Notamacropus eugenii: one gene and its partners. The protein of the gene in region 1 purifies or fractionates together with the protein of each later gene. This does not show direct contact. Links are inferred from orthologs where the notes say so. Each region holds a gene or a part of one and is shown on either strand. Other genes may lie near its edges.

Region 1 (10,379 bases):
AAAACAAGAAAAGGCAGTGATTTATACAGACCCTAATGCAAGTCCCTCCCCCCCCCACTGACCATTATTCTCATTAGCTGAGAATATGATCTTACATTCTAGACACGAAATCTAACCAATCCCTTTTGAAATGAAGACATTGAAGAATTAGGTAAACTTTATCCAATCATTGAGACCCTAATGTACTACACAGTTTTATATCCTTATATGGAATTATTCTGTTCTAAAAATATAGTAACCTTGAGCCTCTCAGTCTTACCTCATCCCTGGGAGAAGAATTACAATCTGAGAAGTCTTCACTAAACCTATCCCACTCAATACCCTTTGATCATTCAGATGGGTAGCACACACTTACATGCATGCATGCACTCAGGAAAGGTGAGGGGGGGGGGAGAAAGACAGAGAGAGAAGAGGGAAGAGAGGGGGAAGGATAGGGAAGAGGGAGAGGGAAAGAAAGGGAGGGAAGGAGGGAAAAAAGAGAAAGGGAGGGAGGGGAAAGAGAGAGAAGGAGGGAAAGAGAAGAAGGGAGATGGAAGAGAATTTCATCAACTAGCATTCTATTCAGTACTAGTATGTGCTAAAGACACATAAATAAAACTGCCTTCAAGGAGTTTCCATTCAATGTGGGGAGATACTGTACACAACTCTAAGTATATGCAAAATGTAAGCCAAAAAGGTGATTTGGCGGGTTGATTGCAAGTGGATGGGGAAGGGAGAGCAGAAACTAGGGGATGCCTTGTGTGGAAAGCAGTACTTAGGTTGAAACTTGAAGAAAAGTAGAGAATATCAAAGGTAGAAGTGGAGGGGGGGAATGCATTCCAAGGGGGGCTGTGCAAAAGCAAGAAGACAAAAATCAGGCGTAAAAAATCAGTAAGAAGGTGGGTTTCACTAAACCCCTGAAGTGCATGAAGGGTCATATTATACAGTAAGCCTCTTAACATAGGTTGGAGTCAGGTTGTAAAAGACTTTACATGCAGATCCTCTTCTCTGACTCCAGGATCCTTTTCAGTCTCTTTCCCTCTATACCATACACACAAAAGACTCATAAGATCGCACAGATTCAGAAAGGGAACCTCTTCATTTTACAGATGAGGAAACAGATCGAGAAGTAATGAAACTGGCCTGTTAAGCCAGATTTAACTCCAAATTCAGCCCATTATAATTATAATACGCAACCAATTAAATGAAGCATCTCCTCTGTGGGAAGAAGAAGCATTTATTGAGCACCTTTTGTATGACAGAGGCTTCACTGGGCTCAGGGGTTCCTAAGACAAAAGAGGAAATAGCCTTAGTCTACAAGGATCCTGAAAGGAAAAACGGACAACTATAATACACATCCAAATAACCTGGGTTACTCACCTATCTTGTAGGAGTGGTCGTTCCCTGTCTCTGGTCTCTCACTATCCAAATTGCTTGGGCCAGGAATCGCGCTGCAGAGCGCACCAACCAACCTTCGCTGGTGTGAGTCACACCTGCTTTGGGCACCAGGCTGGGGTGGAGAAAGAAAGCGGCCCCTTCCTGGTTCAGAAAAAGCACCCGGGCGTTCCTATAATAAGGCGACCTGGGGCTTTCCTCGAACCCAGAGCTTCCCATGTTTTTCAGTACATTCCCTCTTCCCTCAATCCTCACCCTCAGCAAGCCCGAATGAGGGTTTGGAACCACTTTCACCGGTCTATTAAGGTAAAAGAAAAAGCAGAAAAGTACCCACAGGACTTACAGGAAAGAGAAAAATATAGTCCTTACAGTTACAAATAACTCCTGCCTGGGTCCTAGTTCCTGTCCTAAAGCTAAAGAATCTTGCGATCTTGCGCTGGTGCCTTTTCCTCTGATTTTCTTCTGGACATGGTAACGATAGCCTGGTGTGGCTCTCGGCTTTGGAAATCTACCAGTCTTCTTAAGGTTAGAATTCTAACCGTGTCAGGTTGACTGCCCACTGGACCGCTATCCGCCTACCGTGCTGTAGATTTGGGGTCAGAAGATTTGGGTTCGAATCCCAACTGTCACTGTGTGACCTGGACTAAGTACTTTACCCTCTCTGGTCTCATTTTCCTCATTTGTAAAGTGATGGGATTGGATTGGTCCTTAACTCGGAGTCTGTGCACTTGTGTATTTTAAAAAATATTTTGAAAATTGTATTTCAATATAATTGATTTCCTATGTATTTATTTCATACATTTAAACATTATGAGACAAGAGTTCAGAGGCTTTACCAGAAGGCTAAGGGGGATACACGATACAAAAAAAAAAGTTAAGAATCCTGGACTAGATGGTCAGAAAGATTCCTTTCAGTTCTAAATCGATATTAACAGCTTTTCCCTTCAAGCATCTGGGTTCTAGGATCATAGTTTTAAAGTTGAAAGGGTCCTCAGAAACTATTTAGTCCCACCTGCCCTGCCTTATTTTACAGATGAAGAAAGTGAGTCTTCCTCCAGTGAAGATTGAAACCCCTCCATGTCTTAGTAGATGGTCTGTGAAAATTTCTGTGGCTAAAAAATCTAAAACCCTATGACCAAATTAGTGATGAGGCTTCTGTATTGGACTGAGTTCTGGGACAGTAGATTCACAGGTCTGTTTTTTCTAGTTTACTAAACTTTGGCATAACATCCTAGAAAACAAAGTCATCTTCATGCCAGGGAAAGGAATTGAAGGACTTTCAGGGGAGCAGGTGAGCATGAGCCCAAATGAAATACTTCTGACCCCTTGTCGCAAGTACAAAAAAAAAAAAAGACTTTTGTGGGATTGAATGAGCTTATAATAATTTGAATTAAAAAGTGTCCTTTGTGGGGCACATACTCGCTGGAGGCTTAGGGTGCTTATTCCAAAAAGAAAGTATGCTTTGACCAAATGAGCACTGGCTTTCTAGTCAGAAGACCTGGGTTGTCATTCTAAACAATTTTGGTTAGAAATTCAGTCAGGATCCTCCTCAGCGTGTTTTGAACTTCCTGGGAAGATCTAGTCCCATGATAAAGGGTCCTAATCAACCTTGTAATATTGGTACACTGGTAGAATGTTGAAGTCATTCATGCATATCTTAGGAAGCTGGACGGTAAACTCAATGAGGAGATGGACATACCATATCCCAGCACAGTGCTCTCTCTGTGCACAGCTAAGTGTTGGTTGAACATCTGTTGGAGAAATAAAGAGTAGACCCCAATCAGGAGCACTGTATGCATTTTAGGTACTTCATAAATGTTTGTGAGATATTTGGTGGCCCACTAGATAGAACCCTGGGCTTGCAATTGGGATCTCATCTTCATGAGTTCAAATCAGGTCTCAAATTCTTAGTAGCTATATGACCTGGGACAAGTCACTTAACTCTATTGACCTCAGTTTCCTCATCTGTAAGATGAACTGGAGAAGGAATTGGCAAACCACTTCAGTATCTCTTCCAAAAAAACCCCAAATGGGGTCACTCAGAGTGGAACACAACTCAACAACGACAACAGTGAGTTATGGATTTGGGACATGCATTTAAATCCCACCTTGGATCAGCTGTGTGTGACCTCAGGCAATTCTAGGCCTCAGTTTCACCTCTGTAAAATGAAGGGGTTGATCTAGATGGCCTTAGAGGTCCCTTCCAGCTCTAAATCTATGATCCTGTGGAAACCTCACTAGGTTCAATACACACAGGAGGCATTTATTTACTAAGGTAGGTTGAACTAGACTGCTTAATCAGGTAGGATCCAAAAAGCAACATTGCCCTCTTTTTGATTGCCTTGAAGGCAACAGAACTATTCTTGATCTTCTTTATATCCCCCATTCTTAGCACAATTCTTGGCACATAGGAAAACTTAATAAGTGCTTGTTGTCTTGATTTGAACATTTAAAAGAATACAGAAACTTCATTCTGTTGGGGGGGGGGGGGAGCCAAGGTCTGTTAAGATCTCTGTCTTGTCTAGAGTGCTCTGGTTTAACTAAGCCCCATGGATTTGGCCCCCCAGGACTTGTCAAAAAACCCAGAGAAGTCCAATAAGATCTGAATGGAGCAATGCGCAACTTAGAATGGAGGCCTTAGGACACCAGACCCTTTCCAGTTTCCCCTTCTTCACCCCTTGGAGAGTTTGAGATTACTGTCTCATACATAAAGCAGGTGTCAGGAATAGGGGTACTAAGCAAGGACAACTTAAGTCTATCCTGAAGATGCTCTCAAATCCACATCTTCTATCACATCAGTAGAGATCCAAGAGATGCTTTCATTCTAAGTAAATAAAATTGGGGGGGGAGAGGAAGAAATTTGCCAGATAAGAAGAACTCATCCCATGACAAGGGATATCTTCTGTTCTGCATCCCAGATCTCCATGCAGTCATAAGATCACAGAATTTTGAAGCAATCTCAGAGGCCCATCAAGTTGAACCATTTTATTTGACATTTGAGGACATTAAGGCACCAAAATCATATAGCAGGTGCTTAATTATAAATGCATGTGGGATTGCACTGGACTTGGGAAAGACTTGCTCAAGATTATATAAGAAATAAAGATGTCAATAATGGCTAACATTTATATAGCCCTTTAAAGTTTTCAAAATGCTTTACAAATATTATCTTATTTGGTCCTCACAACCTTGGTAGGTAAGTGTTATAATCATTGCCATTTTACAGTTGAGGAAACTCAGGCAGGAAGAGGTGAAGTGACTTGCTCAGGGTCACACAGCTGGGAAGTATCTGAAATCAGATTTGAACTCAGGTGTTCTTTATTCCAGATCCAAGGGAATAACTGGGGTTGGACTCCCCTTTCTCAGACTGTATCCATTATTACTCATTTCAATGTTATTCATTCACAGAATATTACAAGTATCTGTTGCTATCTCTCCAAGAGGGATGCATGAAGACTCTTAAGTAGGCTTCAGTAAATTAGAACTGATGATTTCTCCCCAGGACATGACAGAAAAAAAAAAAAAGCTTCTGGGAGATGGAAGGCCCAGAAGAATACTGGGCTGCATATGTGACAAGGACCAGAGATGCTACAATGATACCCACAGAATGTCAGGAGCTCTAGAGTAATGCCCAAACAACATTAGAGGGACCCACAAGTGAAGAATTTCTGGGAGGATATAGACAAGAGTCTAGAAGTATTTAGAAAATATAAAGGGATCAGTTTCAGAGAGGAAACACCAACTGCAAGGAAGACTAGGAAAGGCTTCATTTGGAATGAGCTTTGGAGGGACAATTAGAATAAATAACTTCCAGAGATATTTACCCTCCGTATTCTGAAATTACTTTGTATTTATCCATGTGCATATATGTTGTTTTTCTAAAAGAATGCTGGGCATTTGAGGGCAGAGAATTTTTATCATTTTTAACCAACTTTCCAGTTGTCTAGCATACAGCCTGCTGCATAGTTTTATTCCATGAATATTTATTGATTGATTAATGGGTTTCAGCTCTAAATCCCATGAGTGGGAGTAGCAATTGAATGCATTCACTGAATTAATCTATCAACCGATCAACAAATATTTGCTAAAAGTTGCCTATAGGTTAGCCAGTGTGCTAGGCTCTGGGAATAGGATACAAGGGAGAAGGGAAAGAGAGACTCACTTTCAAGATTCTGTAACTGATTGTGTGAATATTTAGCACAGTGCCTGGCACACAGTAGGAACTTAATAAATGTCAGCTGATCGACTAACTGCTTCAGGTTTATGTAAAGGGAGGAGTTGGACTGAGGTCTTTTTGAGCTCTGGAGAGAATTGTGGCTGTTTCCCCTTAGAGGGGGGCACAGCCACACCGACTCATACCATGACACAGGACTTAACTTTCCTGCTGGTAACTCCTGCCCTGAGCCGGGATGAACAGACTCGGGGTTGCTTCATTCAGGCGTGGGTTCCTGGTACCCTTTTCTCATCTCATGTCCCCGCCCCCGCCCCCAACCTTGCCAGTCCCGTAACGGTAATTGAATGTACTGATGGGAAAAGTGAGTCAATCTACTTTCCTATGGTTCTTCTACCCGTTATCTCTAAAAAGATTGTATCTGACCACGGTGATCCTGAGCAGGGATTTTTCTCGTGGGCTCTAAGTTCCCTTCCGTATCTAAATCTGTGATCCATGCATCAGAATGTAGGCCTCCGGGCCTCAGTTTCTCCACCTGTAAAATAGGGGTGGGGGCAGAAGTCGGTGCCCCGGCCTCTAGGATCCACTCCGGCTCTAAATCTGTGATCCTGCTGTTAGAATTCGGGCTCCTCATTCATCCATTCATTCACTCATCCATTCATTCATTCATTCATCCATCCATCTACCCATTCATTCATTCCGCCCAGCGCGGGGCGGGGGCGTGGGTGAGAGCGCGAAGGACGAGAGTCCCAGACCGAAAGCCTGGGGGTTTACACCTTCGTCTCTCTCCCCTTCTCCCCGTCACTCTCGCCCCCTCGCTCCTCCCGGGACTACCAGGCCAGCCTGGCCCCGCCCCTCCCTCCGTCCTTACTAGACAAAGCGCGGAAGGGAGCGGCGGCAGAAAACTACAACCCCCACAATGCCATTCGGAACACTGCCCCCCTGATAGGCTGACGGCGATTTCCCGCCTTCCCCTGCTTCCGGCCCGCTGCCCGCTGGCGGTCAGTTGTTGCAGCTGCTGGAGCAGCGGCCCGAGGGTGGAGCAGGAGACAGCGGCGGAGGAGGAGGACGAGGAGGCGGCGGCGGCGCCGCGGGGACCGGTGAGGGCTGCCGTCCTCCCCGATGCCCGACCTGGGCCGCTCCCCGCAGGCCGTGGCCGCTCGTCCGCCCTCCCGGGACTCGGGGCGGACAGACCGATGGGGGAGGGGGTGGGGAGAGAGGGTGGGGGGAGGGCGGGGGAAGGAGGGGAGACGGAGGCTGTGCTTCTGTCTGTGTCTGTGGGTCGGGCTAAGAGACGCCGCCCTGCCCCCTCCCAGCGTGAGAAGGTCAGCGCCCCCTCCCCCCTCGCACGGACTGGTTCTGTTCTCGCTGCAGGGCCCTCCTCATTTTGTCGGCATCCCCTCAGTACCTTGCAGCCCCGCTACGTGTGAAGCGCTGGGTTAGGGGCGAGGGCCGCCGAGGCTCTCCCCGGGTCACGTTAGCTGGGGTGGTTGGGTCTCCCTCCCCTTCCACTCGCCGTGGCTGACCGTATCTGCCTTCCCCCATCTCCCCCAGCCCTGGGGTTCTCTCTTTAGGACAGTAGCTGTACCCCTCCTTCATCTTACTGCCTTCGGAGATCACCTCCAACTTACTCTGTCTGCGTCCTGTTGGCATCTACTTGTGTGCAGACCATCACCCCCTTTAGACCGTCAGTGCCCTGAGGGCAGGGATGGTCTTTTGAGACCCTGGCACATAGTCGGTGCTTCATAATGCTAGCTGACTGATTGACTGTTAAATGCTTCCTATGTTCTTGGGATCTTTTGAATAAAGAGAGGAGGTTTTCTCTCTCCCTAGGGTCTCTTGGGGGGGGAGGGAGGGCACTGCACCATTCTCTGCCCTTCCTTCAGCCTCCTCCACCGTAGCCCCTCATTGCTTTGTCCGAATGTCCCCGTGTTTCTCCCGTCATAGCTAGAATGTGATAAACCCCCAAAGCCCTACCAATATGACCCCATCGGTCCCCGCAGTCATCTCTGTCTCCCCCCTAAATGCAGCAGAGGCACTGTCCTGTGTTTGAGTCCAAGCCTTATCCTTATCCCCCTCAGCCTTCGGGTGCTGGAGCACATCGTGTTCCTCTAAGGGGTTGCCAGCTTTGTATCAACTACAGCCTGAAGAAACATTGTTGCCTTTGCCTTCCAGAGTCTCTCGGGCCCTTCTTAGCACCTTAGTTTCTTGGCCAGCTCCAGCACTTGCGTCAGTTATGAATTTCTCTGAAGTGTTTAAGCTCTCAAATCAGCTCAGCAAGTTCTCTCCCAATGGAAAATTCCTGGTGAGTTGTCTGTGGTTACTTAGACCATTGCTGGTCAAACTGTGGTTGGCAATTTCAGATGAGCTAGGAAGGCTGACTCTTAATGCCACTGACTTGATGTGTGACATTGGGTAAACCAGCTGCCTTCTCTTGGCTTCATTTCCCCTTCTGTAAACTGAGGGGGTTTGTAAACTTGGTGTAGTAGGAAAAGTGCTGGATCAGAATCAGAGGACCCAGGTTACAGATCTGGCACTGCCCACTACTGTCTGTGGGACCTTGAACAAGTTACTTCCCCTGCCTGGGCCTCAGTTTCCTTCTGTGTAAAGTGAGGGGGTTGGATTACATTACTTCTAAGGGCTTACTTTAAATCTGTGATCTTGGGTCAGGTGATCCCTCAGGCCCATTCCTTTTTGGGGGGAACAGAGAACACTGAACTAGATGCTGGGAATGTGCTGTCAGTCTAATAAGAGTGAAACAATAATGCAGAAAATTACAATAAGATATATTAGAAAGTGTTGGCTCTAATAGTTGAGTAGAACAAGAATGACCTTAGGTCACTTGGTCTGATAACAGAATTGGGTCATTGCCTAGTACCCTCATATAACTTGTGACAGGAGGAAACACTTCTTGACTCAATGTTTTTTCTAATATGCGGTATTTAAATAAAATTTTTAAAAAGTTATTCATCCATATGGTGGAATGATGTTGACCAGCCATTGTCATGGAAATCAAATTTACTGTGCCTATGACCAAAGCTGTGGAATCGAGTCCTTCTGCCACTAAAAAGTGCTTTGAAGTAGTAGTTTTTTGTTCACTTTTGCTAAGTATACACATTTGGTAACTTTACTTTCCCTTATCCCTTCTTTCTATACTCCAGAACATTGGAAGTAAATGATTTAAATAGCTTACATTCTGTCTTGGTGAGGAAAAGTAGTTTTTTAAGATGACTAGGATTTGAACTTTTCGTTCCAGAGATTGGAAATCTTATGCTTATGTTACAAAGCTCTGTCCTGGATACAAAATTTAGCTTTGGATATATGCCATTATAATTGTATAATATCTTTGGAGTAATAGAAAAAAAAACCCAACCCAATATTGAGACATCTCCTGTCTTAACTCATAAATTCCACCCAGAAATTTATCGGATGTCTGTCATTCTAATAAATAAGATTGCCATTGGTACTAACTCAACAGCTTTGGCCTCACTATACGCATTTTGTGAAGCCTATATTGTGGCAACTGTAACTTAAAGAATTTATATTTTTGTCTTTTTTTAACCTAAAATTACAGAAAATTAAGCATTCAGGTGTTAGTCTAACAGCACCTTAGGACCTATCCCTTAAGGGTTTGATGTTTGCTTGTGTTTGGGGGACGAGGTTGGTGTGTCCATTCAGTTGGTATAAACAAGTGATCACAATGTGGTGTCATCTGTGACATCTGTATGTAAAGAGAAGTAACAGATGCTTGCCTAATTTTGGCACTCTTGTCATTACTGTTTTTGATGTTTAGTTAAAACTAATAAGGAAGACTTTTCCTTCAGATTAATCTAATCCTTTAATACTCTTGAAGGATCTGCCCCAACTTAGTGCTTTAATGAAACATTTGCATATTACCAGTTTGAGATACCTTAAAGAAAGCTGAATTTATAATGTATATTTTTTCAGGTGTTGATAAAAAGATCCCATATCATAAAGAAAGAATGAGTAACAGCAATTTTCCAAAAGATGATTAGTTAAAATTTAGCTGCTGCTGGTGGAACTCTCATATTTTTTAGAAGCTTGGGCTTATATAACAAATGTTTTAGAAAAGACTCTGAGTAATCTGTGTCTTGCAGTTTCATACACAGAATGTATTAGTAGTCCATATGCAGTTAGCTGGCTTTTCGCCTGGGCTACAGAGACAATATTGTATAAATAAACAAAATAATAAACCTTGATCCTTTCCGACTATAAACTGTTGCTGACCTTAAGTATGATGAGTCTTGGGGAAAAAAATCTTTAGTGGGCATTATTTTTTACAAATGCTCTTAAAATTGTGAATTTATTTAGAATAAGTCAATAATGCAACTGCTCTTAAATAAATTCCAGTCTTTCAACTAAACCATTAATAGTTTCCTAGGTTTTTGGACATTTAATTCAGGCTATGTAGTATAAATTTAGATAACTGAAATATTTTATGAAAAATAGTTGGAATTGAAGTATATTTATCCTAAAGTTAAAACTGCATGTTTTTATGTCCATTATTAACTAGAATGGAGTTTTCTACTATGAGCAAATATTAGCATAAATCCACCTGCGTTCATTTCCTCATTGTTATTATTTGTCATGTTATTTGTACTACGAACGAAAATACATTTTACTTTGATGAATGAAAAATAACAAAAATACATTATAATTGCTTCCTAATGTGTAACTGGAAACAGGCCAAGTGCGTATGTTGTCTTAGACTGACTTTTTCAGGGAAAATATCTAAATCTATTAGAAGTGAGTTGATATGACACACATATAGATGTTCAATAAATATGGAGTGAATAGTTTCCGTTTTCATAGA
Region 2 (10,159 bases), on another chromosome or scaffold:
GTGAGTTACTACAAATCACAAAGTGGAGGGAAAAAAACAAAACAAACAAACAAAAAACAAGGGATTTGAATCCCCTGCTTTAAAAAAAAAAATGTCTTTTCCAGGATATTTTAGCAGACTGCCTATTTCCTACTTACTTTATCTCCACTTATTTCGGAACAAATTGTTAACACCAGCTTCTGAAACAATTAGTTTCCACAGACCTTGGTGATAACATTTTTCCTATCCTACCTAACACATTTGACTAAACTGCTTAAGTTCATCCTAATTACAGGAATGAATGAATAGTTCAGCCTCCTTAGAATTGCCCCTTTTGGTACTGGACTCCCAGCCCCACTCTCAAACCCAACTTCCACACCAGACATAAACATTTTCACTATTTCCCACAAGTTTTCTCACCTTACTCTTGTGACGGTCTTCTTCTATTATAAAATTAGTTGATCCTAGGCTTGTATGATAGTAACTTCTCAGTTCAATTCAACCAGTCTTCACTAAGAGATGATCAAGGTCGTTACACTAGACGTAAGATATACAAAGACAGAATTTAAAATAGTGTTTGCCCTGAGGAAGCTTATATTCTATTGAGGAAAATATAACATTTAAACAGGTAAATGAATACAATATAATTTGAGGGGGGAGGTTTTTTTAATTATAAGTTCTCAGTTTTCTTTCCCTTTGCCTCTTCAATCTGATACAAAAAATTAATTTATTTGGATAAAGCAAGAAGTTCTATAGCCATTTCTGAGTAGAAGGTTAAAAGGAAACATCCTTAAAGACCTCTTACAGTCTAACTTTCTCTTTTCTTCCTGTTCTAAAATGACCACTTTTTCAAAGCTAAATTCCACTTTGGCAGTGTCTAAATTGTCCGTGATTTATGACTCAAGAGATTCTATTGCTAGGCCTATCACCCAAAGAGGTTGCTGACAAAAAGAAAAGCTCTACATAAGCCAAAGTATTTATAGCAACACTTTTTTTGGGTAATAACAAAGAAGAACGAGAAACAAAATGTATACTTGTCCACTGGAGAAAGGCTAAATAAATCCTATGATGTAAATATATTGGAATATTATAACACTGTTAAGAAATAATAAATACAGAGAAGAATGGAAAGACATGAACTGATGCAAAATCAAATAAGTTGAACTGGGAAAATAACATATACAATAACAACACTATAAGTGGAAGAACTACAAAATCAGTGAAACTAAGTACTGCAAAAATTACAGACAGGAAGGTCGGCCCCAGAGGAAAAAAACCAGAGAGGTGGAAGAGGGAGTTATTGATAGGAAACTATGAATATTGTGTTACAAAGACGAAAATAATAAAAAGAAAAATAATAATTTAAGAAAGTTAGTACTATATATGAGGTTTAACGGATGAAAAAGAAATATATCCTGGTTCCACAACTTTTTATCAGACTCACTCATTTATTCAATAATACTGATGATGATATTGATAACATTAATTACAACTCATTTCTGTAGCGTTTCAAATGACCCAACTAGGTGGTGAAGTAGATAGAGCACTGGGCTTGGGACCAGAAAGATACCATCTTCATGAGTTCAAATCTGGCCTCTGACACTTATTAGCTGTGTGATCCTGGGCAAGTCATTTAACTGTTTGCCTCAGTTTCTTGATCTATAAAATAAGATGAAGAAGGAAATAGGAAACTCCAGTATCTCTGCCAAGAAAACCCCAAATGGGGTCACACAGAGTAGGACCTGACTGAAAAAACACTGAACGATATAATACTTTAAAGTACAGGAAGGTGGTAGTTACTGATGCAGTTTTTATAAGGTGCTAAATTCCAGTTAAAACAAAAATGAATAATACATTGCAGTTGGCCTTAGGGTATTTACAATCTGATAACCACACCCCTAGTAAATGGCTTGAACGCTGTTTTTGTTAATCTGTGATTTCCTTGTTTACCAAGTATGCATCCTATTAACAAATAAATTGATTGTTAACTCTGTAACAAAAACCTTCTCGTGTTTATTCAACATAAGCCACTATTCTGGTATTCAGTCCACTAGTTTGGTTTTTAAAGCTGATTTAGCTAAACTTCTTTCTCTTTTCCCTTTCCCTCAGCTAGGGCCCTATTCTGTGCAGGTCTTTTTGTGTGTTTACTAGTCAACTAGTTTTATCAGGCTCTTTGTTAAGCACCAAGAAAAAAAAAAAAGTTGTTTGGTTTTTTGAAGAGGACCAGTGAGCACCGGGTGATGTTTTGGTTCATATGTGAACTGGATTTAAGTGAGGCCAAATTGGACAAAGCTGTCAGCTTTACTGTCTTCCAGTCACTGAAATCCAGTGGCAAGACACAAGTCAAGATGACTGGCAATGGCCAGGGATATAGTATCTGATCTTGGTGTATTCAGGACCTGCAGCACTCTTCAAGGCCCTTGGAAGAAATTATTCACTTCCACCCATTCCTTAGGGTAAGTCTTTGCATGCTTGTGGGAGATATCCCCCTATCTCACCCACAGGTTTGAGGCCCGTTGGTTAACCCACCTGCCTAGACAGTATACCCCATGCTTCAGTTCATGAATGCACAGGTGAGAGTTGAGTGCTAAGCAGGAACCAAAGGTGGAAAAGAAGCCCTGAAAAGGGTTCAACAAGTCCTCACACAAGAAGTGCTAGTCCTCTTTGCACACCCCATACAGAAGAGTCCGACAGGACTGAACAACAACATGGCTCTCCTCTGTATACAAAGGAAAAAGTACTGCCACAATCCACAGAGAGCTTACGTTCTAAAGGAGGGAGAGAACACATCCTGAAATCTGTATGTGTGAAATAAATACAGAGTAGATGGAAGGTAGATGGAAGATTGAAGAGGGTGGAAGTTAAGAGGGAGAGTATTCTAGGGGGGCCCTGTGTGAGGATCAGCTAGAAAGCCCACGTCTTGACCATTTGAATAGAAGAGATCAATGTGTTAAGCAGGACTACGCCTTCAGATACCAGAGTGAAGGCAGTAATAATGGCTGGGTGGGGAAGTGTGAGGAAGTGGGTGAGGGAGGGGGTGAAGGGAGGAGTGTCAAAAGGATATGAGATAAAGAGGAGTGAAGACGGAGCTCTTCTCTGAGGTTTTGTCAATGAAATATGAGTCTCAGTCCTCAACTGAGAGGGTGGGAGGCTTGAAAAGAAAAGGGATGTGGGACCGTGGTGAGAGGGATAGATAAGCAATTAAGGTGGGGTTTGTGGGATTGTCTAACTGCCATGAGAGCCTAGCTGAAATCAGTTTAGTCTAAATCTGTAGTGGACCAACTCAACCTAGCTTCATCATTTCCTCCGGTAAATGAAAAATTCTTTTCCCCAAACCCATTCATAGACTAAAACAAAAATCTTATATAAAATTAAGGAAAACATAATATAACTTAAAAACTTAACATAAACATAAAAACATAAAAAATAACATAAAAAATTGCAAACGATGACTCATGGAACCATAACTGTTATATGCCAACTGATAAAAGGGAAAACCATGTCCACTGACCTTCACAAGCCAGCACCAATGCTGATATCGTATTTATTGTTTTTTCTGCCCGTGTAGAATGTTGTTTTCTTTAATAGAGCTGAAATCTGTGTGTATATTGTTACTTAGTTCTGCTTTTTTTCACTCAGAACTGCTTTTTATCTCCCAATATTTCTTTGTATTCTTCATATTTGTCACACCTTATGGTTATTCCATGAGTTCAGACAACACAATTTATTTAGCTATCCTCAATATCTAAAAAAAAATTAAATATTCCAATCAGTTAGATGAAAAGGTAAGGTTACAGTTTTCCTGAGCATGGATGGAGGGAGAAAAGAATTTCAATTAACCAGTGTTATCAATGAAATAAGAAAAGATAAAATAGAAAACCCTATGTAAATAATAATAAAAAATTTTCACACAAATAAAAGTGATACATATAGACCAGGGAGAAACCATATAAAAAATCTTTGCATTAAACTGCTTTGATAAAAAGCTGACATCCAGATCTACAGGGAACTAACACATATCAAAGCTATTCTCTCCTGAAAGGCCACAGTGCCTGGAGAGCAGGTCTCTAAACCATGCAGACCAAGGGACCTCTGACCCTAGGAAAATCACTCTATTTCTCATTGCTCCAGGCAAGTCTCTAAAACAACTTCCTCAATTGCAAAGCAATTTAGGTAGTAGATGTTTTTCTGGTAGTAGGTGTTTTTCTCCACCAGTAAAATCACAGGTTTCAATCGAACGCCAATCTACCCACCACCCCAGAAAGAACTTCTCTCAAACTCAAGTCTTTCTGACTCCAGATCTGACATTCAAGGTCCACTCTGTCACTTAATTATAATCATTCTCATATTACTTTAAGGTTTGCAAAGCACTTTACCAATAGTATCTCAATAGATCCTCTAAACAACCTTGGTGCTGTTATTACCCTCATTTTACAGATGAGGAAACTGAGACAAACAGAGATTAAATGACTTGACCAGGGTCATGCAGCAAGTAAATACTGGAGAGTGCACTTGAAATCAGGTCTTTTATATTAGCATGGGCTGACTTTGGATAGGCAAATGCTAAGAAACTGTAAAGTCATTGAAGTTATGATCCACCTGTGTTGGATCAGTTCAACAGTCTGTAGGACTTCTTTCAGATGGGCACTGGCATCCGAACATGGAGCTTCACAGATGATCTTAACTGCAAAGTCACTGAAGTTATGATCCACCTTTGTTAGATCAGTTCAACAGTCTGTAGGACTTCTTTCAGATGGGCATGGCATCCGAACATGGAGCTTCACAGATGATCTTGGGAACAGTTTAAAGCATGAGAGGTTTTGTTTTTTGCACATTTCTTAGAACAATCCTTCCTGCTGGTCGTGTAATTATTGGAGGGTCTGTGAATCCTCATCCCCTGCTAACTAATCGTCCTTTCCCACTTGTAGGTCCATGCAGATGGCAGGAGGCATCTGGGGACACTCCAGGCAGTGAACTGGAGCCATGAGGACAGATGCCAAGCAAACCCCCAAGCCCATCATCTCCAAGAAGCCCTCTCTGGATTCCTCTAGATCACCATGCATTAAGCGGCCGAGAGCCTCTGGACGCTGGCCACTCCACGGGGTAAAGGGGATCTGCGGGGAACCTGGTCTTCTAAGAAGGCACCCTTGGGGGAAGCTGAAGGGAAGACGCTTACTGTGTAAGCTCCGCGGAAAAAGCAATTTGCAGCCCCCTCCCCTCTTGCACCACTTCAAACCGATTCGGCCAGCACGTATTAAGCGCCTACTGTATCCCAGGCACTCATGAAGACCTAGGAAAGGGTAGACTCGGACTCAAACACCCCCAGGGTTCGGTCCCCGCGGGAAGGAGGACGCTAAGGCCTCCGCCTGCTGCTAAGCGGGCTACGAGCCCCTCCCTCACCTTCCCCCCCTCCCGTAGGCCCGCCGCAGCCCCCCCCCCCACGTTCCCCGCCACTCGAGGCCCCGCCCCCCGCATCTTTCTGGCCTCCGCAGGGTGCCGGGGAGGGGGTGGGGGGAGGGGTAGGGCGGGAAGCTCCCTCTCCCTCTCCGCCTCCCCCCCACCCCCCCGCCGCCGACTCCTCGTTTCCAAGCGCGTTTCGGTTCCTGGCCGGGAGAAGGCTTTGGCCCCGGAGAGCCGCCGTAGCCCGCACCTTCCGGCGCTCGGAGCCGCGGCGGCCGCAGCTCGCGGCCCCCTCCCCCGCGGGCAGTGGGACTTCCGTGTTGGCGGGATTCTGAACGCGGCCATGGCTCAGAACGTTCAGAACGTTACATTGTCTCTCACGCTGCCCATCACTTGCCACATTTGCTTGGGGAAGGTAAAGGAACGGAGGCTGTGCGGCCGCGGAGGTGCCGCGGGGGGGATCCCTGCCGGCGCCGGCCGAGCTTCTCGCGTAGGGCGCCGGAGTTGGGGGGAAGTGGGCGGCCGAGCCCGTGCCTGGCAGCGGAGGATTTTCCGTAAGGGGGTGTTCGGGGAGACGAACGGGGGTGTGTGTATATGTGTGTGTGGGGGGAGAGAGAATTGGGGGGCTCCGGGCTGACGGACGCTGATGGAGGGACAGAGCCGGCGGCGCGGCCCGGCTCGCGCGGGCGCCAGCGTGGGGGGAGCCCCCAAGAGCGCCGGGGGGGGGGCGCTGCCGGAGGTGCCGGCCCCCGCGTGGGATTGGAGCTCAGGCGCTGAAAATGCTAATGAGCGTGGTCCGCGCCTCCCCCGCCCCACCCCCACCCGGCCTCTCCGACTCCGGAGCTGGGGGCGCCGCTTCTTAACTTGGGCTTTTTATTTTCCTAAGCTAAGGGTGGCTTTGGGTTCCAACCGTCGGTGTGCCCCAATTAAGATGAACCCCCAAGTGGTGTCCATAACGACGAGCCCTCTGAAAGATGTGAGGCGGCTCTCTGTACCCTGGACTTGGAGGGGAAGGGCGCAGTAAGTGCGCTTGGGAAAGCGCTTGGGATCAGGAAGTTGCCTTTTTTTTCATTAATCAGTAAGTTTTCGTGTTTTTCTTTAATCAATAAGTTTTCATTTTTTTCTTTATTTTTTCATATTTCTTTTGCTCTCCATGTTCCCTCTTAAAAAGTTTAAAGACCCTTTAAGCCTAATGTATATTGAGAGCTTGCTGTGTGCAGGCAGCAGTCCATGCCAGTGATTGGCGGGTCTCTTTCCCCCCACTCCCCAAAACCAAGTGCAGACTTTATGAAACTACAGTTTAAAACCACAAGCCGCGCCAGCTCAGTGTCAAATTTTTAAAATGCCATTTAAGTCATATTTAATCGAGTACTTCCTGTATGCCAAGCACCAGTCTTTCACCCCACTCCTCGCCCCCCAGATGCAGATTTTGTGTGTTAGACCATGCAAGCTCACTGTCAAATTCTTAATGGCCATGTAAGTCATATGTGTAAAGTACTGCTTTATGTCAGTGATTTGCACATCTGTCTTTTCTCCTCCCACTCCCATATCCAGAGGTTTTGAAACTACAGTTTAAACCACAGGCCATGCCAGCTCAGTGTCAAATTTTTAAATGCCAAGAGTGCTTATTGTATGTAAGGTGCCAGTTCAAGGCAGTGATTTGTAGGTCTTTTATATATCATTTCACCCACTACCTCCTTCACCCCAAATACAGACTTAGTGAAGCTTCAGTGGACACCTCAAAGTTAGGCCATGCAAGCTCACTGTCAACTCAGCTTTGGATGCTGCCCTCCTCCTCTAGATCAGTGTTTTGGAGAAAATCCTTTTTTTATCAGGGTTTAGGAAGTCACCTTCTCCTGAAAGGCTTGGGAAGTTCCCACTTCTGGTGTTGACGATTATCATTCATTATTAATTAGGCTAATTCAAGTCTTTAACTCTTTCATCCAGGGAGCTGTAATACAGGCATGTTCATAGAGAACTTTGTGCTTTCACAAAAGCGCGTCTGTCATTCCATTTGGTTCTCACAGCATCCTTTGAAGTAGGGTGGGGAATGAGGAAACTTTGACCCAAAGAAGTTATATACCTTTCTCAAAGTCACTCAGCTAGTGAGTGATAGAGATAAAACTACCACTGACTTGGTATGGGTACCTTGGAATGGGTATTTGAGAAGCACACCTAAGGTCTTTGACGCTAATGAGGAAAGCCACTTTTGCTTGGTAAGGTAGTAAAAGTATTCATGATGCAATTTCCTTATAACTGAAATTCAGGGTTAGCTGAAACAGCATGGGAAATACTGTTTCCTTAATTTTGCATCATGTTATATCATTTTTACTCATCAGGCTATTTTGCAGATATGCAGAAAAACCTTGTTATGGACCAGTTAAGGAGGGAGCACCTGTGTGGGAGCCAGTGTGCTAATGATGACTGACTGCTGGAGCCCAGACATTGGCTTTTGCATCTTAGTGAACTCAGAATCCCAGTTACTCTGCTGAGAACCTGTATGCAGTAATGATTTTACATTAGATTCCACTTTCACAACAACAATAAAGCCGACCCTCGTTTATAAGCATTTTCCTGTTTGTTTTTCCTGAAGATAGCCAGTCAGTCAATAAGCATTTATTGAGGGCCTACTATATGCCAGATACTGTTAAGTGCTGGGGATACAAAAAAGGGGGCAAAAAACAGTCCCTGCCCTCAAGGAGTTCACAGTCTAGTGGGGGAAACAAAACACTATATGTAGAAACATGCTACATGCAAGATAAATTGGAAATAGTTAACAGAAGGAAAGCACTAGAAAAAGAGGGTCTGAAAAAGGCTTTTTTGTAGAAGACAGGATTTTAATTGGAAAGAAGCCAGAGAAAAGTTGGCTAGTCAGATGATAAGGTAGTTGGGTTTTCAAGGCAGCATATTTTGAAACCTAAAAGCAGTCCTCCTTCATTCATTGCTCATCTAGACCCTAGTTAATATGTGGGGCTGGAGATACTTTAACTGAGGGCTAGCATTTCTGAGTTGCTTCAGGATGAATTTGCTGGGTGCATTAGAACAGTCAGTTCATCTATCCAGGGTCCTCCTAGCATAGAATCTTGGAGATAGAAGGTACCACAAAGGTAATCCAGTCTCATAATAATATTGCACATTTACATAAGCACTTTAAGCTTTATTGAATATTTTACATTATTTTATTTGATTCTTTAAAAGGCCTGATGAGGTAGGTGCTTCTATTTCCATTTTGTATGTGAGGAAACTGAGACCAAGAGAGGATAAGTTACTTGCCTGAGGTGACACAGGTCATAAGTAGGAGAGGTGGGACCTGAATCTGAATCTTGATTTCAGACCCAGCACTCTTTGAAATCAGTATATTATGCTTTAAGTAACTGGGATAGAACCCACTCCACCCTTTCTTAATCCTGTGATTCCTGCCCCTTCCCTCCAAGATTCTCCTAATCCAGTGGGTATTGGAGTATCTATCACGGATGTGCAGCCATGGAGCAACTCTGGCCTCTACTAATTAGTAAACATTGATTAAGTGATAGGCACTGTGTTAAGCTCTGGAGATATAAAAATAAGCAAAAGACAGCCCCTGCCATCAGGGAGCTCTTGCTCCAAGTTATCTCGGCCTCAAAGAACTGTATTCCTCCCACCCCCTTTTGATCTATGTTGAAGTAATCAGGTAGATTGAGGGCCATCTGGAGAGGTATCTATGTATCTCCATGTCAGCAAACTATCTCCACCAGTGACACCCCAACTCTTGAAACATCCACTGCTAGCATATCCTTGGACTATACTTTAAAAGCTTAGATACTGTCTCTAGGTCTCTTATTTTTTTTTAGAAGGCAAACATTATTATCTTAAAGGATAGAGCTCTAGCATTGGTTCTAGGCTTCTTTTGTTACCATAGAACCACTTGCCACTTGGACAGTGCTGATGTTGAAAACTTGCTCCTAAAGAGATATCACATAGGTAAATTTCAGTGAAGGAGAAAGAGAAGCCAGAAGAAGTTTGTATTGATCCAGCATGTCTTTTGGTTCAAATCGAGAGTTTTGTTTGGAAGGCCTACAAATGCAGTTTGTTAATGGCATTGCTGTAGTTAGCATTACTGAACCTTTAGTAACCGTTTTTCATATTTTTAAACACTTGAATGTGTTTGTTACTGTTTTTTGCATACATTAGGGGAGAATAACTTCTCTGCCAGATGTTAGTTTAAAGAATTCTAATCAATCTTAACCTAGGCTACCAAGGTCATTATCTATTGGTAAAAATGATTAATAGCCTCATGGCCCCTATCCAAGTTTCACTCCATTATCTTCTTTTCCCTTGTTGTTATGAGTGTTATTCTACCAAACAGTTGCTAATTACCAGGAACTTTCAGCTTCCTAATAGAGTCCGTTGATGTTATCTCTTTGTATAAACTTTGGGCTTCTTAAGATAAGAATTAGGGTAGATTTTAAGCTGTTGCCCTTTCACTGATTACTTAAAGTGTCAGGATTAGACTCCTATGATCTTGTAGATTAGGGTGCCATAAACTGAACACTTCTCCAGATATGGTCTTCCCAGTGAAGAGTACAGTGGGCTTTCTCCTTTGACATTTTATTTTCATTAATGCAGTTCATGAATGCATTAGCCTTTTGAACATTGTTATGGTTGAAAATAATTTTTACTCTTAATTCCAAAAGGTTTGAAGAGTTTTTATCATTATGATATTCTTGATGATAAAAGGAAGGTCACATTAGTAATGTTAGTAAAACAATTAGTAAAATTGGGAAACTGAAACAAAGAAGGC
Region 3 (9,972 bases), on another chromosome or scaffold:
GTTGGTCCAGACCTGTGATTTCATTTATTGAACTTGGAATCACAAGACCTGAGTTTGAATGTTGGCTCTTCCTTCCACTTACTTGCTACCCATACAACCTTGGGCACTGGGCTTGGGATCAGGAAGACTTATCTTCATAAATTCATATCTGGCCTCAGACACTAACTAGCTGTGTGACCCTGGACAAGTCACTGACCCATGTTTACCTTAGTTTCCTCATCTTGTAAAGTGAGCTGAAGAAGGAAATGGGAAACCACTCCAGTCTCTTTGTCAAGAAAACCCCAAATGGGCTCACAAACAATTGAACGACTGAAATGAAACAACAACAACAAACAATGCCTTTTTTCTGGGGGTGGGGAGGAGTGAACAGTAGCAACATGCTTTTTTGGTGGTGGTGGGACAGTAAGGAAGCATTAGCAGCTGAGGAACATGATAGAAGGTTTCATTTAGAAAGTGGTATATAAACTGAGTTTTGAAGGAAACTAGGGATTCTAAGAAGCAGAGATGAGGAGGAAGCAAAGTTCAGGCATGGGAGACAAGTCTTCTCAAAGACACAGAGACAGAAGATAGAAGGTCATTGGGGAGAAACCTAAGAAAGGTGCTTTGGTTGGACTATAGAAGGAGAGTCATGTATAATAAAGTTGGAAAGGTAGATTAAAGCCAGGTCATGAAAGACTAAACATGAGTTTATATTTAATCCTAAAGATAGCTGGAAGCCACTGGACATTATTGAGAAGGGGAGTGAAATGATTAGACCTGTGCTTTAGGAAAATGATGTTTTGGGAGCTATGTGGAGGTCGAATTGCAGCAGGGAGAGAACTGAGGCAAGTAGTTCAAATTAGGAGAAAAATTAGACAACTTAGCCTTGGATCCAGTCAATAAGTTCCAAATCTACCTAATTGTACTTTCATGTAGTCCACATCCCTCCATGTTATGGGCAAGCATAGCAAGAAAGAGGTTGTCAAGTATTTTTCTCAAATCTAAGTATACAATGTCTAGAGCATACTTCTGATCTACCAGTCTAGTTACTGTTAGAAAAATATATGAAGTTAGTATGACTGGTTTATGAGGCAATTATTTTCCTTTTTAGTATTCACTGCTAAATTTTCACAGACCATCCCCTTAATAATGTTTTAGAATTTTACCTAGAATAAAAGTTGGGGTCATTTATGTGTAGTTGGCAGACTCCAACCTCATTTCTATTTGCCTTTTTCCAGTCCTAAGTCCTCTCAGAGATGACTGATAGTAGCTCAGCCAGTTCTTTAGGATATAGGTCCTCTGGACCTGGTGACTTAAACTCATTAAGAAAATATAAATACTTTTTGACCATCTCTTCATTATCTTGGGTTTCTACTTCATGCTAACCATTTTGTACTATCCCCTGGGCAATAAGACTATCCCTCCTTTGGGCGTTTCCTTAATTCCAACATAGCTAATGCAAAAACAAAGACAAAAATGTTAAAAACAACCCCTTTTTCTGTCTTGTGCAATCATTGCTAACCTGAATTCTTTCTGGACTTTAGGGCAGGTCAGCATTATCCTTCTGTATTCATTCGCAAATAACTCAGGTAATTTATTTCACCTTTACTTTTTTTCTAGTTTTCGGAATAATTTTGTTTTTTGCCTTCAGAATTTTATTATATGATTTGATTTATAAAAATTCAATACATACTTTTTAAAAAACAATGAATCTATAACATAAAACAAAGTATTTCTGTATTAAGTAGGAAAACACAGGAAAAGATTAGAAATTTTCTTAGAACACTATTACTCATTGGAAACTTCGGTCTATTAATGTGTGTGTGTGTGTGTGTGTGTGTGTTTAATGTCTGTGGTAAATGAGAAAAGGAAAAAATGTAATTTAGATAGTATTAAGATATGATCTCCTATGTATTATAATTCAAATCATATTCGGGGCATTTCAGGTTCTTTCTTGCTTCATATTTCACCACTTTGTTCACTCATACTATCATTTTAGCTTAATAAAAACTTTCTCTTTGCTTCTACTGGCTCACAGAACGGTTTCCACTAAAGATGCTGAGCATGTTTAAACAGACAAATGAAATAGCCCACGTTCAGTTCTCTTCGTGATTATTTGCCAAGCTGTTTTTCCTGCAGAGGTGGCCTAAACCTGAAGGCAAAATATCATGCACAGATACTCTTAAATGGTGATGACTCAGTCCAGATCCCCAGCCTATTCCAGTCTGTGATTATATATCAGAAGGTTGTTTGGTAAGCACTGAATCAGAGCAAAAAGAGCTAGAACTTTCTATGGGAATAGCTCTCCTCCATTTACCTGTTCCTCACACTGTATCCTGGAATGGTTGTTGATAGAATCATTAGATGACGTAATTTAGAGTAGAACACAATTATAGTATATTCATTATTACTTATATTTGTGTATGCTCAGGAGCAGAAGCTGTGGTGACAAATAATTGCTGGGGAATCCTAAATAATTGACAATGGCTTCATTCATCAATTCATTTATTTATTCAATAAAAATTTACTGAGGAGTTACTGTGTGCAAGCCACTGTGAAGAATATATATCTGAATAAGACATAGGTAGGTAGTCCTATACAAGTTCTTTATGATTTAGTAAGGGAAATAAGATATGTTGACATTGAAAATGGACAGAAAGAGACAAGAGAGAGAGAGAGAGAGAGAGAGAGAGAGAGAGAGAGAGAGAGAGAGAGAGAGAGAGAGAGAGATAGCGCAGATCAGCTAGCTAGTTGCTCAGGCTAGCCTCTGTAAGAAGGCAGTATTTTGATGGCCTTGCCTTCCTCTACACCATGGCTATTTCTGTCTAGATAACTGGTATGAGTCATTAAAATCAGAGTACCCAGTTATTTGTGAACTGATTCTGCCCAATAAAGAGGAGTTGGCTGCCAAAGTTGAAGTGATAGGAACCTTGGAAAGAAGTGATCAGTATATCTTAGAGTTTGTGATAAGTAAGGGAAGGAATGCAGGGCAAACCCTGAACTTGGGAAGAATAGATTTCACAGATTGTATAGATAGGATCCCATTCCTTCAAATTTTATAGGGGAAGTTGGATCAAAAGTGATGGGATGCTGTTAAGGAAAAAATTTGATGACACAAACGCTAGTGATTCTGATGAAGAATAAAAGGGAGAAAAGTCTTAAAAGAGTGATGTGGATGCACAGAAAACTTCTGGACCAACTTGAACTCCAAAAAAGGGATGAAAGAAGATGAAAGCAAGAGAAGTTTACTGAGGATGAATGCAAAACAGTAGCATGGTCCTACAAGAATAGTGCTAGGTGTACTAAAGCTCAGAACAAGCAAAAGCTTTCAAAGTATGCTAAGGAAAACAAAAAGAACAGATGATGGAGATAAGACAGAACTACTCAACACATTTTTTCTATTTTATTTTTACTAGGAAGAACAATCTTCAGTTGGACACAGATAGAAGAAAAATGATTAATGAGGAACTGAAATCCATGATAATTAAGGAAATGGTAAGAAAGTGCCTCCTTGCCTCGAATAAGCTCAACTCTAAGTGCAGATAAACTACATTTCTGAATACTAGGAGAACTAACAGGTGTCATTGCCCACTGAGTTGTAATCACCCCCCAATTTTTTAGAAAATTGTGGAAAATGAGAGAAGTAGTACAGGATTGGAGAGGGATTAAGGTCCCAGTTTTCCAAAAAAGAAATAGGATAATTCATCAAGTGATTGATTGGTGAGCCTTACTTTGATTTCTGGAAAATTCCAGAATATATTAATAAAGAGAGAATTTATAACAATTTAGAAAGAAAAATCATGTTCCCTAAGAGTAGGCACAGGTTTATCAAGATTAACTTGTGCTAAACTAAATTCAGTTCGTTTTTCTGATTGATTCAGTGGATAAGGGAAATGCCACAGACACGATATACTTAAGCCTTAGCAGGCAGTTGATAAATTATCATGATATCTTTATAGATAAGAGAAATGTAAATGATATACTATGAACAATCTGATGGAATAAGAGAGTTTCCTATGTCCACTAAGCAGGTTTAAGCTGGAGAGGGGTGGGTGACACATCAAGATTTAATATTGACAAGCTGGAAGGATGGGCAAGATCTAATAAGAAAAAGCTCAGTAAGTAAAATAAGGAAGATAGAAGTAAAAATATTTTTAAAAACCATTCACTTGGGCAAGTTTAAAAAATAAACTGCAGAAATATCACATTTCTAAAACCACCATTACAGAGGAAGGATGAATAGTCAATAGTATGAGTGAAAAAATTCTGTATTGGTGTACAGTAACCTCAATATGAGTCAACAAATGATAGGATATGGATGATAAAAAAAAAAAGGTAATGTAATCTTATGTAGAATTTAGAGAAGCAGAGCGTAAAGAATATGGGGGAGACTGATCATGCTACTTTCTGTTTTGATCAGTTGGAATATTTCGATAAGCTCTGGTGGAACATGGACAGTTGCTTGATGGAGATTGTCTATTATGGTAAGAAGGTTAGAAACTATGCCAAAGGAAGATCAGTTGAAGGAACTAAGTCTGGAGAAGAGAATTTGGAGTGACAGGAAATCTGTCTTCAAGGATTTGAAGAGTGGTTATGTGCAAAATGGATTAGAAGTGTTCTCTTTGGTCCGGAGCTGGGGCAAAGTGGAGGAATAGGCAGATTGCAGAGACAGATTTTGTCTTAATATAGGAAAAACTTCCTAACAAATTTGTCCAATGACAGAGGCTGCTTCTCCATCACTTAACAATAGGGAAAAGGCCTAGACCTGTGATTTCAAATTCGTTTAACTACTCCCAGAAGAGGAAGCACCCCGTAGTAATACCAATGGGTACTTTCTTGACAATTTATGTCCTAAGAGAGTTGCCTTGAGTGTGGAGAGGTTAAATTACTTACCCAGAGTCACACAATATGGGTCAAAGACTTGGTTTTAAGACCAGCTCATTATCCAATGTCGCCTAGAAGAATCACTTCACAAACAATGTGTTCTGAAGGCAACCCCCCAAATATGCTGACCTTAGCTTCTTTACATCTCCTTGCCCTACCCTTAATGGTTCATCATTACCAACGGGAAACTATGGTTAAATTCACCTATTGGACTTTTTATGTTTGCCCATGTTTGGCTACAGTAACACCTAACGTGTTACTATTTAAGAAAGGAAAATAGCCCAAAGAAAGTACTAAGTGTATTTGAGGTTATTTTAAAAGGAGAGTAGTCATGGTTTTGCCTTTCTTTGTATCTTAAGTGCTGGGCACATAGTAGGTGCTTATGGACTTGTGACTTATCCAGACAGGTAGATGAGGCTTATCGAGATCTTGATCCGGGATGGCTATTTTGGTGGTTCTTTGGACAGTTTTCTTTTCAGCATCACTCTTTGGAGTACACCTCCCAAGTTTCTCTTCTTTTTCCTTTCTTTTTGCACTTTTTCATCCCCAAATCAGAAGGAGGGGGTTGGAAGGTAAGAGAATTACTCCATTTTCCACTCAGAACCCTATTCCCACGTGCCACCGGTTAGATGCCATATTTCGATGCTACCACTGCCCGCTCCCAACATCGTCCATTCCCCAAAGTCGCAAGTCGGGCCAACTGGAAGATCTTTTGGGGATGGAATGTGCACTTTTCACAGCTCCATTTTCTTCTTCTTACTCTATTATACCTTTACGGGAAGTCTCGGATTTGGAAAAAAGCCCCGAAACAGTTTTTCAAGCTGACGAACTCCTTTGTCCTTGTCCCGATTTCTTATTTTAGTTACAGCAAACTGCCAAAAATCCTACGAAAATGTGAAGCCTGCATTTTCATGCCTCCTCTTCCTTTCCTTCAATAAAATTCACCATCCTCTGCATTTTACAAGGCATCTCGGATTTTATTTTAAAGCTCCCATCCCTGTCCTGCCGAATTCCTCTGTCCTCTGCTTTAGGAGTGTTTCGACTTGTTTTTTCACCCTTCAGAGCAGATATAGGGGCACACAGAAGCTAATCGAAAAGAAGATTTGCGCATCGAATCCTTGTTTTTCATATTTCTGGCATGCCAAGCCACCGAAATGGGTAGGGTCGACACTTTTTCACTGTGCAGGCGTAACTTTGGCATCTCTTCTGCTTCTACCACTCTCAGAGGCACGTCTCTCATCTTGTCCAATTTTTTTCTGGGCAGGAGTCGCTCTTCCTTTCTTTCTCTAGCCTTTCTGGTCTATTTTTGGAGTGCTGACTTCTTCCTTTGGGGCTGGAGTCTGCATCCAGGCGTCCTGGGAGCCTGACCTAATTCTGGAAGTCAAGTATTGTCATCCTGTCGGTCTCCCTTTGCCAAAGCTCATGGTTGGGCTCCAGAAGAGGAAAAAAACCTTCTCGTCTAGAGTTGTTGGCGCGTGTTCGCTTCGCCTCTTTAGAAAACAAAGCCAAGAAATGCCTTTTCTTGCTTATCCCGAGCAAGGACTTGGAGTGTGAGTGGAGCAGAGAGCAGGAAGAGCCTGGACAAGCGCTCCCAGGGATTCGCAGGCTCTAACAGGTGCGTCGCTGCAGCTGCGCTCCCATCCCAAGCCTGGAGTGTAGGGAATAAGACTTTTCAAGTGCAAGGGGAAGGGGGTGGAGCCAATGGGGAGGCCCAATCAGGTCAAGTAGGCCCCGTTATTTATCTCCTAGCAACCGAGGGAACCAATGGGAAGGAGCCTAGGTGGTGGAAGGCGAGGGGGAGGGGTGGGAACAGCTCAAACCTGCGGCCCTAGGGAGGGGAGGAAGCGCAGAAGGGGGCGGAGCCTAAGCTGGGGAGACAGTAGAGGAGGCGGGGCTTGCAGGAGGGAGTCTCAGCCTGAGGCGCCTCATTCTCGGGCCTGGCAGTTGGGGATTGTAGCTGCAGAGGGGAGTCTGGTGGTCGTAAGGCAAGGAGCCCCCTCCCCCACGCACCCCCCCCCGCCCATGGGGGGGGCCATGACTGGTGAGCGTCCCCCCCCCCTTAGGGTGGGGTCACTGTGACGTGCCCAACAAGGGCCCAAGAGCCTGGGTGAAAAGGAAACCATTGGTTGGGGGAGGGGGTTGGGGTTGGAGGTGGGGGGCTGGGGTGGGGGTGGGGGGGTGGGAAGAAGTGCCTTCTCTGCGGCTGGGTATGCAGCGAGGTGGGGGCAGGGCAGGGAGGTGAGTGTGGCCGCCGCCCTGGCACCTGGATCTCTGCCCCTCCCCCTCTGGGAGGCGCCGTTGGGGCAGCTGGCCCGGGGTGGGGGGTGGGGTGGGCCCCGAGGCCCAGATCGGCTCCTGCCCCCCTCCCCCAAGCCCATCCCCCCCGCCCTGCAGGGGTGAGGGGCGCTAGAGGAGAGCGCTCCAGATGAGGGGGGAAGGGAGGGCGGGGGCGGGGGGGGCACGACCCACGCGACGGACAGGTGCCAGACACCGGAGGGAGGAAGGGCCGAGCATCGACGTGGGGGGAGGCGGCGTGGGCAGGGCCATCGCCTCGCTCCCTCCCTGCTGGAGGGACAAAGGAGGGACGAGTGGGAGGATCCCCTTGACGCGGTGGGGAGGGGTCTCCCTGGGAGGACCCTCAGTCGCGGCGATGCTGCTGTCGGAGCCGCTCCGCTCGAGGCTGGCAGCCCCATGCTTGCCTGGTGGCCTGGACGAGGCTCGGCGGTGGGAAAGCCCCCCTGGGGCTGGGGGCGGCCCGGGGGACCCCAGCCCTGGGCCAGCCCCTCCGGCTCCCTCCGGGGAGGCCCCCTGTCGTGGGCAGCGCGGGGCCGGGGCCCGGGGGGGCCGCGAGGAGGCGGCTCGGCTCTGGAAGGCTGAGATGCGATAGTGGACTGCCGGGAGTCGTCCTTCTGCTGTGTGTTTTCGGAGCGGTGTCGGGCGAGCGAGTAGGGCTCAGAGCGGGGGCCCGGGGCTCGGGGGGGGGCCGGCCGCGGGCTGAGGGCATTGCCCCGGGCTGGCCGCGGTCGGGGGGCCCGGGGGGCCGGGGGCAGGGGCGTGGGGGCTGTGTAACGAGGACCCGGGCTCGGAGAGGTGCTGTGCTGTGCTGCGCGGCTCGGCTAGGTGCACCGCTCGGAGCCGGGCCCTGGCGTGCTGCGGCTGCCGAGCCCAGCGCGCCGGGCCCGGGCACGGCCGTGCGATGTGGTGCGGTGCTGGGTGCCGCGAGCAGATGGAGAAGTGTGGAACGAGGCCTGGTGCCAGAGGCTCGTGCTGCAGCAGCCGGGTGCGTGCTGCCAGGCGGCCGCGCTCGGAGCACAGAAAGCTCGGGAAGGGCCCGCGTGGCGCAGGGCCGCACTAGGGTGCTGCTGCGAGCGCACGGCGTGCTGGGCTCCCGAGCGGTGCCGGAGGGTGCTGCCGGGCCACGTGCAGTGCCGGGCCGGCGGGGCTGCCCTGGCGCGCGGTTTTATAGAGTGTGGGCACCTGGGCAGTGAGGTGTCAGGGAACGTGGCGTTGCGCTCGGAGCGCTGTAGTCATGCTGTGGCACGCGGCGTGTTGTATAACGCTGTCCTGCTTATCTAACGGTACTCTGCTTGGGCTGCGCTGATCCTAATGTGGCCTACAGCTTAGAGCGGTTAGATAATACGGCATTAGACTACTTCAAGGGGCAACGTGATATTATATAATGTGATATCATAGTCAGTGCTGTAATAATATTGTAGCATGCTACCAGAGGGTACTGGAATGGTACCGTACTAGGGTTAGCTTGTTATATAGCGTGATGTGCTTTTAGTACTGCAATGATATAAAATACTATTTAGGACACCATAATATTACAACGTATTTAATTACTGTAATAATATATATGTAATTATGATATAAAAACTCAAGCACTGTAATATGTAACATAGTATGTTTAAGAGTTCTGTGATAAAATTGTTACGCTATTCAATGCTATGTAATATTCCATACTAAGAGTACTATAAAACATATTAGACTTAGAGTACAACGTGTACTACTTAAAGTATATAATTTGCTTTTGTTCAGTTGCGTCTGACTCTTCATGACTCCAGTTGGGGTTTTCTTGGCAAAGATCCTGGAGTAGTTTGCTGTTTTCTTCACCAGCTTATTTTACAGGTGAAGAAACCGAGGCAGACAGGTTTAAGTAACTTGCTTGAGGTCCCACAGCTAGTGTCTGAGACTGGATTTGAACTCAGAAAGATGAATTTTCCATACTCCAGGCACAGCAGTGCCTTCATGGCACTACCTAGTTGCCCCAATGTAACATAAAGTACTTTAATAATATACTACTTAGAGTAATGTAATATAGTATATTATTAGAGTAACATAATAATATATCTTCTACTTAAATGGTGTGTAGTATAACCTATTATAACAGAATACTGGTTGGTTGGTTGGTGGTTGTCTTTCATTCTCAAAGAGAACCAAAATGACATCACTATGCTAGAGTCAAGTTACAGTGTGTCTGACTGTGGCCCCTCAGACCAGTATGAACTTGGTTAGGCACACATAGTCCATGTGAACATTTGGGGTGGGTTCTCTAGATCTGCACATCTTTCCTGTGCTCATAGAATACATCGCCTTCTCTGACAAAGGTGCGCCATGCTGCGTACTATAGAGAATACACAGAGTATTATAAAAATATATGTGTATATATATATATATATATATATGGTACAGAGTACTATGAAGCATATTTTAGCATTATAGTCAGAATAATGTCCTAATGATATACTACTTAGAATACTATCTGTTTAGAATACTGTGATAATATTATATAATACATAATACATAATGTCATACCAGTATAGCATAGTATATGAAGAGTACTGTATGGTATATTATAACATTATCCTGATAATACTATAATATATAATATTACAGAGTAGTGTAATAATACAGTATACTGTTTAGACTACTATAATATATTATTAGAGAGTAATGTAATAATAGATGTTTTTGCAGAGTGACTATTATGTTTATAGTACTGTAGTAGTATAATAATATATTACCTAGAATACTATAATATATAACATCATATTTATTTACAGTGCCACTATACATACACACAACACACTACTTAGACTGCTGTAA

Evidence for each region.
Region 2: the proteins of WRAP73 (region 1) and OBI1 purify together in Homo sapiens (affinity purification with mass spectrometry; 3 studies listed by BioGRID and IntAct, counting the BioPlex papers as one, with this or other methods). This does not show direct contact. The link is inferred for Notamacropus eugenii from reciprocal best matches to the Homo sapiens genes WRAP73 and OBI1.
Region 3: the proteins of WRAP73 (region 1) and SSX2IP purify together in Homo sapiens (co-immunoprecipitation; 4 studies listed by BioGRID and IntAct, counting the BioPlex papers as one, with this or other methods). This does not show direct contact. The link is inferred for Notamacropus eugenii from reciprocal best matches to the Homo sapiens genes WRAP73 and SSX2IP.

What each region holds. Positions count from the first base shown.
Region 1 is NC_092876.1:39,903,431-39,913,809, reverse strand, and holds the start of WRAP73 (WD repeat-containing protein WRAP73), read left to right. Parts: upstream 1-6,522; 5' UTR 6,523-6,645; intron 6,646-7,720; 5' UTR 7,721-7,781; coding exon 7,782-7,850; intron 7,851-10,379.
Region 2 is NC_092877.1:258,128,752-258,138,910, forward strand, and holds the start of OBI1 (ORC ubiquitin ligase 1), read left to right. Parts: upstream 1-5,524; 5' UTR 5,525-5,722; coding exon 5,723-5,794; exon of another isoform or gene 5,795-5,933; intron 5,934-10,159. UniProt on the Homo sapiens protein: E3 ubiquitin ligase essential for DNA replication origin activation during S phase.
Region 3 is NC_092873.1:493,725,415-493,735,386, reverse strand, and holds the start of SSX2IP (afadin- and alpha-actinin-binding protein), read left to right. Parts: upstream 1-5,974; 5' UTR 5,975-6,904; intron 6,905-7,048; exon of another isoform or gene 7,049-7,101; intron 7,102-9,845; exon of another isoform or gene 9,846-9,972. UniProt on the Homo sapiens protein: Belongs to an adhesion system, which plays a role in the organization of homotypic, interneuronal and heterotypic cell-cell adherens junctions (AJs).